Macaca mulatta: one gene and its partner. The protein of the gene in region 2 purifies or fractionates together with the protein of the main gene of each other region. This does not show direct contact. Links are inferred from orthologs where the notes say so. Each region holds a gene or a part of one and is shown on either strand. Other genes may lie near its edges.

Region 1 (5,801 bases), on a different chromosome or scaffold from region 2:
TGGGCACCCACGGCGTCTGTCAGCTGTCCCCACAACACCCAATGGCCAGTACAGCACACGCTGGTGTTTATGGCGCTAGGACACAGCCCCTGTTGGTGCCAGTGGCTGCTTTATCTCCAGTGGAGCCTGGAAAACACCCAGATAAAACTGGACCCCTGGCTCAGTCAAACACCTGCCCAAGCTCCGCAACTGCCCACTCACACCCCAGCCTTCTCTGTCCAGACCCATTTTGTCATCTCCCTGTCGCCTCCCAAGCTGTGGTCCGCACTAGGCCTGGGGCTGATGGCATCCTGTGGGCTTTGGTTGGGGGAGGGCAGATTCTGGACCCACTCAGGCCCATTGAGGGTACTCGCTGGACACCTGCCACTGAGCCACAAGCCCTAGAGGCGGCCTGGGGTTACCAACTCTTGCTGTCACCTGGGTGATCTGCTGTTAAGGGATGCAGGTGTCAGCCACCCTCGAGTGGTCCAGCACTGTCAGGTGTGGGGACCTCTTGCTGCCGACAGACCCCTTTGAGTAAGCAGGGCCCAAATATACACAAAGTCTGAGAAAGACCCAAAACCTTTATTGTCCCCACCAGGAAGCCAGTGCTTCCAGCCCACACCCCACACCCCAGGAGCCTCAGCAGGTCTCTGCTCGGGAGGACGCCACCCAGAGCTGCAGCCAGGGCCTCCAGTGCCACCTACAGGCAGCCTGCAGGCTTCCTCCCACTCCAGCTGGGCAGTGGCCAGGCTGCCCCTTGACCAGCCCCACTAGGAAGGCAGCAGGATGGCAGTGGCCAGTGTGGTCAGGCTGGGCCATCTCCCTCTCAGACCTCAGCACCTGGGTCCTCAGGGCTGCTGCCCTTGTTCCGGAAGTGGTCTCGACTCCGCTTCCTGCTGCCATGGAAGCCAACAGTCTCCACCGGCGGGAGACCTGGCACAGACCCACTGTGGACAGGCCCTGACAGTGCCTCCACCTCCTGCAGGCCCCCATGGGGGCTGCCCCACTCCTCGGCCTCTGGGCTCCCGGGCCCGGCCAGATGGGCCAGCTCCACAGGGCCCTCGCCCCTGTCTGTGGCAGGGTTCCCAAGGCCACCCCTGCCCGGCTCTCCCACCTTCCCCAGGACCCTCTTCCTCTCGTGTCTGGCCTCGACGCCTCGGACTGGTTTGGTGAAGACGACCCTCCCCGCCCCACAGCTGGAGGGGTCCTGGTTGAAGGAGGACACACAGTCAGTGGGGGCAGCCAGGCTCTGGGAGCCCAGGAAGGCCAGGGCGGCGGCCTGATTGCTCTGCTCGCTGACCTCGGTCACATCTTCTAGGCTGTACTTGGTCCAGCGCTCGGGGTGTGCCACGTAGTCAGGGACCGGAGGCACCCTTGGGGAGGCGGGGCTCCGACGGGCCCCGCCCAGGCCTTCCACTGGAGACCGGCCTGAGGGCGCTAGGGGCTGCTTGAAGCCTCCATTGTCACTCATGCTTGTGTGGGCCACAGAGGATGGAGCCCTCCTGGCCGCTCCCTCCAGGCAGTCAAAGATGTCACGGCTGCGCTGGGAGAAGGTGGAGCTCATGCCTCTCAGATGGAATGGCTGCACCGTGGCCGGGAGGAGGCCTGACGGGGGTGAGGGTGGTTCATCAGGACCTGAATCCTCCTCCCCAGGCAGCCCCAGCGGGGACAGTGCTTCCACTTCAGCACCACCGGGCAAGCTGAGGTCAGAGTCCGAGTCGCTGAGGGAGACTGTGTCGGAAGGCAGCGTGTCATACTCCGTCCCGTGCTCGCCCTCCACGCTGGGGGACGGCTCACCTGTCCCTGCATCAGCCATGGGTCCCCAGGGCCACGCCACACCTAAACCAAAACGGCCCAGGAAGTTTGTCTCTCAGGAGGAAAAGTATTGAGAATGAGTTCCCCCTGCAGATCCACTGCCCCTGGACAAGTAGAGAATCAACTGACAGAACCGTCCCACACAGGGTGGAGTCCCGCCTCCCCCTCCAAGCCCTCCTCTCACCTCTCTTGGCTGCTGGGTGCCAGTGGTTGACACTGGAGTGTGACTGGACAGCCAAGTGGGCCAGGTGAATGGAGCCCTGCTGAAGGTCCTCAGTGGCACAGGCGTGGTCGTCTCAGGCCTGGGAGTGCCCCAGCATTGCCGCTGTTCAGCTGCTCAACTGCAGGTGGGTGGGGTGGGGGAGAGGACCAACCTCAGACCAGAGCACACATGTGTGAAACAGGTTGTGTCCAGTGCCAGCACATTGTCACCCCTTAAGGTGCCAGGCAGGACCGACCTAAGTCTGGGTTTTCAGAGCCCCTGACAGGCTAGGACTCAGGGTAGGGACTTTTGACTCGTTACCTCATTTAATCGTGCCAACCCTCTGCAGGCAAGCTTGGAGCTACTAAGCGATTTTAGTAGTAAGCAGCCACCCAGGGCTTAAACCCAGGGCCGAGATCAGGCAGGAAGGCCACTTATAAGCTGCTTGCTGTGCAGGGTGAGCAGTTGGTACTCCACAAAGAGCCGGCACCTTCCTGATCCATGGGGAAAAGGTTTGCTCCTATTTGCTGGAAGATCCCCGGGAGCTCCCAAGGAATCTGCAGCCAAGGCCCTGGCATCTGAGGGTCAAGCTCTCAGGAAAGTGGGGTGTCGACCATCACCTTGAGCAGCCCTGCTAGGCAGAAGCAAATCCCCGCAGCTCCTGGAGCGACCTCCAGTGACCTTCCTCCTGTAACACTCAGCACATACCTTGCCTTTCCAGCTGGGCAGACAAATGCTGCCTCCTGTACCCATTTAGCGGTAGAGTGACTAGGTGCCTCAGAGCTTGCGTTTCCAAGCAAAAAAGACGGCCCATCCACACCCTTCTTCACTGTCCTCGGCCATCCATCCACTGACTCCTCTCCTGCTACCAACACTCCTTGCCCGCCCAGAGTGACCTGTGTCTTGTGCACCCAACAAGGATGGGGTCAGGGGTACTATTAGGGACTGTCAGTGCCCTCCACCAGGTCAAACACAGGAAGGACCTCAATTCCTCTGAGGCCTGACTCTCCTCAGTGAAGAAGCCACCCCAGGGAAAGGCGATACCCAGTACCCCCCACACTGATGACCGTTTTAAAACTGGCAGGAATGGGGCGGGGGCCATAATTTGCCCAAGTCACACAGTATGTTGCAGACGAAGCTGGAGTTCCAACCAGACCCCTGCTTCCCAGATTCGCACTCCCGTCCTCTGCAGCAGAACGCCGCCGCGGCCAGAAGCAGCCTGGTCAGCGGGGCACTCCGAGGGGGAGCGGGGATCGGGCTGCAAGACAGGGACTCCAGGAGTCCGTTCTCGGGGTTCTCGGCGAGATCCGGCAATGAGTGGAAGGGCAGAGTTGACTCCTTCATGTCTGGAGACTGAAGGAAGCCGTCTGTTTCTCCACATGAATGCAGAGCCGGGCCTTTCTCCACTCTATGTGCCAGCAAGACCTCCCCGCCAGGGAAAGAACGAACTCTCAGTGCCAAGTTGGCTCTCGGTGCGAAGTCGGGCTGGACAGGCCCGGGTCCGGGCCTCAAGAGGATGCTGTGGGTGCCAAGGGCCCGGTCGCAAGGTACGGGGGTTGGCAAGCACAGCGGGGCCTCCGAGCTCAATTTAAAGCTGCGCTCGGTGACCTTCCGGAGGCTCGGCCGGCCACCGTGGCCCGTCCTCCATCAGCACAAACCTACCGGCTCAAGGATGCACGGCAATCTCCATCTTGGTCGGCGCCGCACGTCCGCGCGGCGCGCTCAGCCCTCTGGGAAACCGAGTGCTCTGCCGGCGGAGCGCCGCGGTTTCCGCACCTGCAGAACTACAACTCCCACAAGGCACTGGGCCTCCACTCCCGACGCCTGTCGGGATGTGTAGCCCTGTGCGCATGCGCCCGCCCCTCTACGCCCCGGCCCTTGGGTCCGGCTCGGAAGCGGCCCCGGAAACGACGGCATTTGTTGGGGAACCAAGACCGGAATTGACCAAGAAGAACAGGAAGAGGAGGGGCCAGGCCTGCAATTCCCAGAATGCTCGACGGCTAACCGACAACCGGGCCGGCTTCCCGTGGTCCCAGCGCCACCTGCCGGAAACCGCGAGAACAGCGGCCGCCCCAGGCAGGAAGTGCATCATCTCGTATGGAGAACGAATGCCGTTCCCAGCACTTCCGGTCATGACCGGAAGCGGTAACTGTCGCTCCTCCTGGGCTTCGTCAATGCAGCGAGGCGGGGCTCCCCGGGATCCCACGGTCCCGCTCAGGCCAGACGCAGAGGCGGTCCCAGCCCGAGATGAAGACGCGGGGTCGTGGCCGCTGGGTCACGGGTGAAGGGGGCTTTACCCGCTGGTTGGGCCGACGCTTTCCCACCCCTAGGGGTTTACTGGGCCCTGGCCGCAAACTTGTGGGGCGTCGTCCTCACACAATTGCCCGGCCACCCTGACACCTCTGGGCCCTCAGCTCTGGTGCACTGGTCCGGGCTCCGGGAGGCACTGAGACGTCCCCCGAGGGCTCTGCGGGGAAGCTGGGGCCAGGTCCCTGGTCCTTCCGGGCAGGATGGAGGCCGCTGAATGCTCAAGCTTCCAAGTCAGCGTGGCTGGGTGGGCGGCAGCCGGGAAGGTTTGGCCTCCGCCGTGCTTGGGAGCCTGTCCAGGGGGCAGGTCAGATGCCCGCCCTGAAAGGGAAGACGAGGGCCCAGGTTCTCCCTTCGACAAGCCGCGTCTCCCTTGGCCACTGGCCCTGTTGGCACCTTGTGCTCCTTCTCAGCTGGGAGAGTTCATGCCCCACACAGTCAAGGAATCTGAGTTCCCCGTGGCTGCTAGACCTCTGGTCCCTCTGAAAGGCTCGAGAGAGAACTCCCCCAGGGCCTGCTGTCCTGGCATCCGCTGGGAAATAGGATTCAAGGACCTGCTGTGGCTCAGCCTAGAGAAAAGGAGGGGAAGCAGGACCCCCTCCTCGGCCCCCGGTCTGCTGTGCACCTTTGGGATACCTTATTCCTTAAACTGCTCTTCCCTCCCCACAGGGAACATAGTGGAAAGTAGAGAGGGGGCTCCTTGAACCATCCTGTTACCCCAACCAGTGCAGGCTTGGAAGTTGGGAGCAGCAGGGGAGGAGGGCCTGCTGAGAGACTCTGTAACCCCCTAAATTGCAGGGCTGGGGACAGTTTCCAAATTGGCCCGCAAAGAGGCTGCTGGGAGCCCTAGACATGAATTCCCAGGCACTCATTTCCTCCAGGGGTCAGTTAAATGTGCCAGCATCTCCCGCCCCACAACTAGGGAAAAGCAGCCTGACCCAGAGCAAGCCCCACCCCACGATGTAGGGGAAGATAGGAGAGTCTAGACCAAGCCCATTGGCAAGGACGGGGAGCGCAGGGGCTGCTTAGCCCCAGAGCCTGTCCACCCCCCAACCACCGCCCGCTGAGGGGCTGGGTGGGCTCCCTAGTAGGACGAGGTCTTTCTTCCCCTCCAGCCCCTTTGAGACATGGCTCAGGCCTGAGCCGCCAGCTCTTCAAAGGAACACTTACAGGAAATAGATGGGCAGGACAGAGACCCTCAAATGCTCAGGAGGGAGCAGTGTGTCCATCCTTTGCCATCCCTTAGGAGGAGGAGGAGTCCTGCAGCGCACCCAGCCCCGACCCCAAGCCCATCTCATACTGCATTCCCTGGCTGCCCGACCCCTCCTGCCAACCTACTGACACTGTGTGCTCCTCGTGTGCCCAAGGGGCAGGGTGGAAGTGACTGCAGGCAACACAGGGCCTCTCCCAAAAGAGAACACAGAGAATCCTCCCAGAAAGGGCCCTTGCTACCTGGAGTTACTCCCTGGTTTAAACCCAAAGTAAAATTCTAAGC
Region 2 (5,090 bases):
GCCCAAGTTCCTCTCCAAAGCAGAACGAGAGGCTGAAGCTCTAAAGCGACGGCAGCAGGAGGTGGAAGAGCGGCAGAGGATGCTTGAAGAAGAGAGGAAGAAAAGGAAACAGTTCCAAGACTTGGGCAGGAAGATGTTGGGTTCGTTATTCTACCCTGTGTAGCCACTAGATGGAAGAGGAAAGAGTGGGATGAGATACAGTGTCTCTTAGGAGAATTAGAAACCTGTTCACTCTGGAGTTTGGAAAAGGGAAGGATGGTGGGAGTTTATGAGAAAACATTTTTCTGTTAGATCTCCATTTACCCCATATCATAAGTCTAGCCCTTTTTTTCTTCATTTGATGTTCCTCATCTGGATTCCCTCCATTCCCTCTCCTCTTTTCTTCCATGAGCTCTTCTGCAGCTTTGCTTTCTTTGATCTGCAGAAGATCCTCAGGAACGGGAACGTCGGGAACGCAGGGAGAGGATGGAACGGGAGACCAATGGAAATGAGGATGAGGAAGGTCGGCAGAAGATCCGGGAAGAGAAGGATAAGAGCAAGGAACTGCATGCCATTAAGGTGCAGGCCTTGGATCCATCTTCACTTCTCTCCCACACACAAAAATGAGGTTTAGTTATTTGGCCATTGTGATCTCTGCATGTGAGAATTGGGCCTCAAGGCTCATGTGCTTTGTGTTCCCTCCCTGAGCAGGAACGTTACCTGGGTGGCATCAAAAAACGGCGCCGAACAAGACATCTCAATGACCGAAAATTTGTTTTTGAGTGGGATGCATCTGAGGACACATCCATTGACTACAACCCCCTGTGAGTGGCTTCAGGCCTGAATTCTAGGTCTTTTCCACTAGGCAGTCCTAGAGAGCTGATGACTACAGAGGTGGAGGAAGTCAGACAAGCCGGGATGGAAAATTGGTAGACTGGTAGTCAGCCAGCCCTCTGGTGGAAGAAAGACCCTGTCCAGGAGGAACTGTTTCATATTAGTAGTCTGCCCTTCCCTCCTACTGCCATAACAGCTGCTTCTTTTTTCTTTTCCTCTGTCTCAATCCCAGGTATAAAGAACGGCACCAGGTGCAGTTGTTAGGGCGAGGCTTCATTGCAGGCATTGACCTCAAGCAGCAGAAACGAGAGCAGTCACGTTTCTATGGAGACCTAATGGAGAAAAGGCGAACCCTGGAAGAAAAGGAGCAGGAGGAGTGAGTGATCAAGGCTAGGGTGGCTGGACAGAGCCCAGAGACTCTACAGAAAGGAGTTGGAGGGCACTGATTCTACTTACTCCTCACATCCTGCTCCAGGGCAAGACTCCGTAAACTTCGTAAGAAGGAAGCCAAGCAGCGCTGGGATGATCGTCATTGGTCTCAGAAAAAGTTAGATGAGATGACGGACAGGGACTGGCGGATCTTCCGTGAGGACTACAGCATCACCACCAAAGGTGGCAAGATCCCCAATCCCATCCGATCCTGGAAAGACTCTTCTCTGCCCCCACACATCTTGGAAGTCATTGATAAGTGTGGCTATAAGGTAAGGAGGGGTAGATTGGCCCAAAAGATCTGAAATGTTCCTGCACTAGTTTGGGAATAGAGAACTTTGTTCCTTGACTATTTGGAGCCATCCCTGCTATTGGGTACCAATGTGACCTTTTCTGTCACTTTCTGGTAGAAGCGTCAGCTTTTAGTGATTATGTTTCTTCTTGGGGTCCCCATTTCTGTGCACTGTACTTGGCATCCTTCCATTGCACTAGCAGATATGCTTACTACTATCAGTGGTAGCCCAGGTTGTATAATTCTGCCTGTACCTATTACTCTTTCTCGGGGTCACTGCAGGAACCAACACCTATCCAGCGTCAGGCAATTCCCATTGGGCTACAGAATCGTGACATCATTGGTGTGGCTGAGACTGGCAGCGGCAAGACAGCAGCCTTCCTCATCCCACTGCTGGTCTGGATCACCACACTTCCCAAAATTGACAGGTGGGGTCAGCTGGCACCAGCTGGAGTGGGTTTGTCTGGGTAGGAAAGGTGAAAGTGGCAAAAGAATGTGTGTTTTTTGTTTCACGTCTATAATCGGAAGCTTGCTTCTTTATTCTTGGTTCGATATTAGGGAATAATTGGATCATGATATCAAAGAATTATATGTTGCTGGCAAAGACCTGGAGAACTTTGCTATCCTGGAGTCTCTGATTTTTATTTTTTTATTTTATTATATTTATTTTTTTGAGACAGAGTCTCACTCTGTCACCCAGGCTGGAGTGCAGTGGCACGATCTCGGCTCACTGCAACTTCTGCCTCCCAGGTTCAGGTGATTTTCCTGCCTCATCCTCCTGAGTAGCTGGGAATTACAGGCATGTGCCACCACACCCAGCTAACTTTTGTTTTTTTGTTTTGTTTTGTTTTTTTGAGATGGAGTTTTGCTCTTGTTGCCCAGGCTGGAGTGCAGTGGCGCAGTCTCGGCTCACTGCAACCTCCTCCTCCCAGGTTCAAGTGATTCTCCTCCCTCAGCCTCCTGAGTAGCTGGAATTATAGGCACCCGTCACCACGCCCGGCTAATTTTTTTGTATTTTTAGTAGAGACGGGGTCTACATGTTGTTCAGGCTGGTCTCTTAACTCCTGACCTCAGGTGATCCGCCTGCCTCAGCCTCCCAAAGTGTTGGGATTACGGGCATGAGCCACTGCGCCCGTCCTTAATTTTTGTATTTTTAGTAGAGATGAGGTTTCACCATGTTGGCCAGGTTGGTCTCAAACTCCTGATTTCAAGTGATCTGCCTGCCTTGGCCTCCCAAAGTGCTGGGATTACAGGCGTGAACCACTGCACCTGGCCGAATCTCTGATTTTTATTTATTTATTTATTTATTATTTATTTATTTTTGTTTTTTTGAGATGGAGTCACGCTTTGTTGACCAGGCTGGAGTGCAGTGGTGTGATCTTGGCTTACTGCAACCGTTGCCTCCCAGGCGCAGATCCTCCCACCTCAGCCTCCCAAGTAGCTGGGATTACAGGTGTGTTCCAACATGCCCAGCTAATTTTTGTATTTTTTGTAGAAACAGAGTTTTACCATGTTGCCTAGGCTGGTCTCAAACTCCTGGGCTCAAGTGATTCACCCACCTCAGCCTCCCAAAGTGCTGGGATTATAGGCTTGTACCATTTTGCCTGGCCTCTGGACTTACTTTTTTTTTTTTTTTTTTTTTTTTTTTTTTGAGACAGAGTGTCTCTGTCAGGCTGGAGTACAGTGGCACGATCTCAGCTCACTGCAACCTCCATCTCCTGGGTTCAAGCAATTCTCCTGCCTCAGCCTCCCGAGTAGCTGGTATTACAGGCGCCGGCCACCACCCCTGGCTAATTTTTGTATTTTTATTAGAGGCAGAGTTTCACCATGTTGGCCAGGGTGGTCTCAAACTCCTGACCTCAGGTGATCCGCCTGCCTCAGCCTCCCACAGTTCTGGGATTACAGGTGTGAGCCATAGCGCCCAGCCCTGGCCTCTGATTTTTGAGTGAGATCATTTCATTCTTTTCTCATCATCCTCCCCATTCCCATCGCTTCCCCTAAGAGTGACTTTGTCTTGCTCTGGCTTGTGGTTGGATAAGAACCAAAGCTCACGAAGCTGTGGGATGCCCCATTTACCACAGAATCGAAGAGTCAGACCAAGGCCCTTATGCCATCATCCTGGCTCCCACCCGTGAGTTGGCTCAACAGATTGAGGAAGAGACCATCAAGTTTGGGAAGCCGCTAGGTATCCGCACTGTGGCTGTCATTGGTGGCATCTCCAGAGAAGACCAAGGCTTCAGGCTGCGCATGGGTTGTGAGGTTTGTTTTTCTATCTAGCAGCCAGCCTGCTGTCTGGGAAGGCTATCTTGGGGCTTTGTTTCTAGTTTCTGGAATAGATGTGCAGTAGAATGAAGAAAGGAGCTGGTTTATATGTATGTGCTATTTATTGAGAACTTATGCACCAAAGTTTATATTACAAATAGTATATATCATATATATTAGCTCATTAATTCTCACAATAATGTGTGAGAGTAGGTAGTGATATTTCCTTGTTATAGATCAGGCTGAGGTTCAGGTTAATAACTGCCTGAAGTCACAAACAGCTGGCAATGGGCAGAGCTGAGATTCTTATCCATAGCCTGTGCTTTTAGTTACTCTTTACTCTGCCAGACCAAATCTTTGACTTTGTGCATTGCGTTCATCTCAGGAAAGTGGAGGAGAGCTTTTTATGAGAAATCTGCTGTAGAAATTTAGAGTTTTTACTTTTTTTTTTTTTTAATTTAGTCTTTATACAACCCCCTTCATGGTATCCCTTAGTCTCTCCCATCTAAGAAAGTTGCTTCTTCAGGATCTGAAATGATTTGCCAAAAAAAAAAAAAGTTTCTACTGATTTTGCCTCCTCTGTCTAATCCCTGCATCTTACTCAGAGACCTCATTCGTTCCTGAGAAAATCCAGGCAACAAGTGATTTCATGCTGGTTTGCAGGAGCCTTTACTGCTAAACATAACCAGAGGTTGGGGTCCAAGTTCCTCAGCATTGGAGGTCTGTCACCCAAGTGGGTGGATAGTTCACAGGAAAGAAAAGAAGGGGCACCTGCTGGGCTGTAAGTGATTATACTGTACTACTCAGATTGTGATCGCTACCCCTGGGCGTTTGATTGATGTGCTGGAGAACCGCTACCTGGTGCTGAGCCGCTGTACTTATGTGGTTCTGGATGAGGCAGATAGGATGATTGACATGGGCTTTGAGCCAGATGTCCAGAAGATCCTGGAGCACATGCCTGTCAGCAACCAGAAGCCAGACACGGATGAGGCTGAGGACCCTGAGAAGATGCTGGCCAACTTTGAGTCGGGAAAACATAAGTACCGCCAAGTAAGGCTGCTTCCCTGGGCTGGGAAAAGTGGGACAGGCCAAGGCGGGTGGATCACTTGAGCTCAGGAGTTTGAGACAGCCTGGGCAACATGGCGAAACTCCATCTCTACAAAAATTACAAAAATTAGCTGGGCATGGTGGTGCGCACCTGTGGTCCCAGCCACTCCAGAGGCTGAGGTGGGAGGACCTCTTAAGCCTGGGAGGCCGAGGTTGCAGTGAGCTGAGGTCGTGTCACTATTCCACT

What was found.
Region 1: the proteins of DDX23 (region 2) and TSSC4 purify together in Homo sapiens (affinity purification with mass spectrometry; 3 studies listed by BioGRID and IntAct, with this or other methods). This does not show direct contact. The link is inferred for Macaca mulatta from reciprocal best matches to the Homo sapiens genes DDX23 and TSSC4.

What each region holds. Positions count from the first base shown.
Region 1 is NC_133419.1:2,306,581-2,312,381, reverse strand, and holds TSSC4 (U5 small nuclear ribonucleoprotein TSSC4), read right to left. Parts: upstream 3,710-5,801; 5' UTR 3,662-3,709; intron 2,631-3,661; exon of another isoform or gene 2,490-2,630; intron 2,139-2,489; 5' UTR 1,982-2,138; intron 1,822-1,981; 5' UTR 1,799-1,821; coding exon 809-1,798; 3' UTR 546-808; downstream 1-545. UniProt on the Homo sapiens protein: Protein associated with the U5 snRNP, during its maturation and its post-splicing recycling and which is required for spliceosomal tri-snRNP complex assembly in the nucleus.
Region 2 is NC_133416.1:55,993,468-55,998,557, reverse strand, and holds part of DDX23 (probable ATP-dependent RNA helicase DDX23), read left to right. Parts: intron 1-1; coding exon 2-140; intron 141-424; coding exon 425-558; intron 559-690; coding exon 691-803; intron 804-1,045; coding exon 1,046-1,189; intron 1,190-1,288; coding exon 1,289-1,514; intron 1,515-1,816; coding exon 1,817-1,962; intron 1,963-3,615; coding exon 3,616-3,793; intron 3,794-4,603; coding exon 4,604-4,846; exon of another isoform or gene 4,847-4,893; intron 4,894-5,090. UniProt on the Homo sapiens protein: Involved in pre-mRNA splicing and its phosphorylated form (by SRPK2) is required for spliceosomal B complex formation.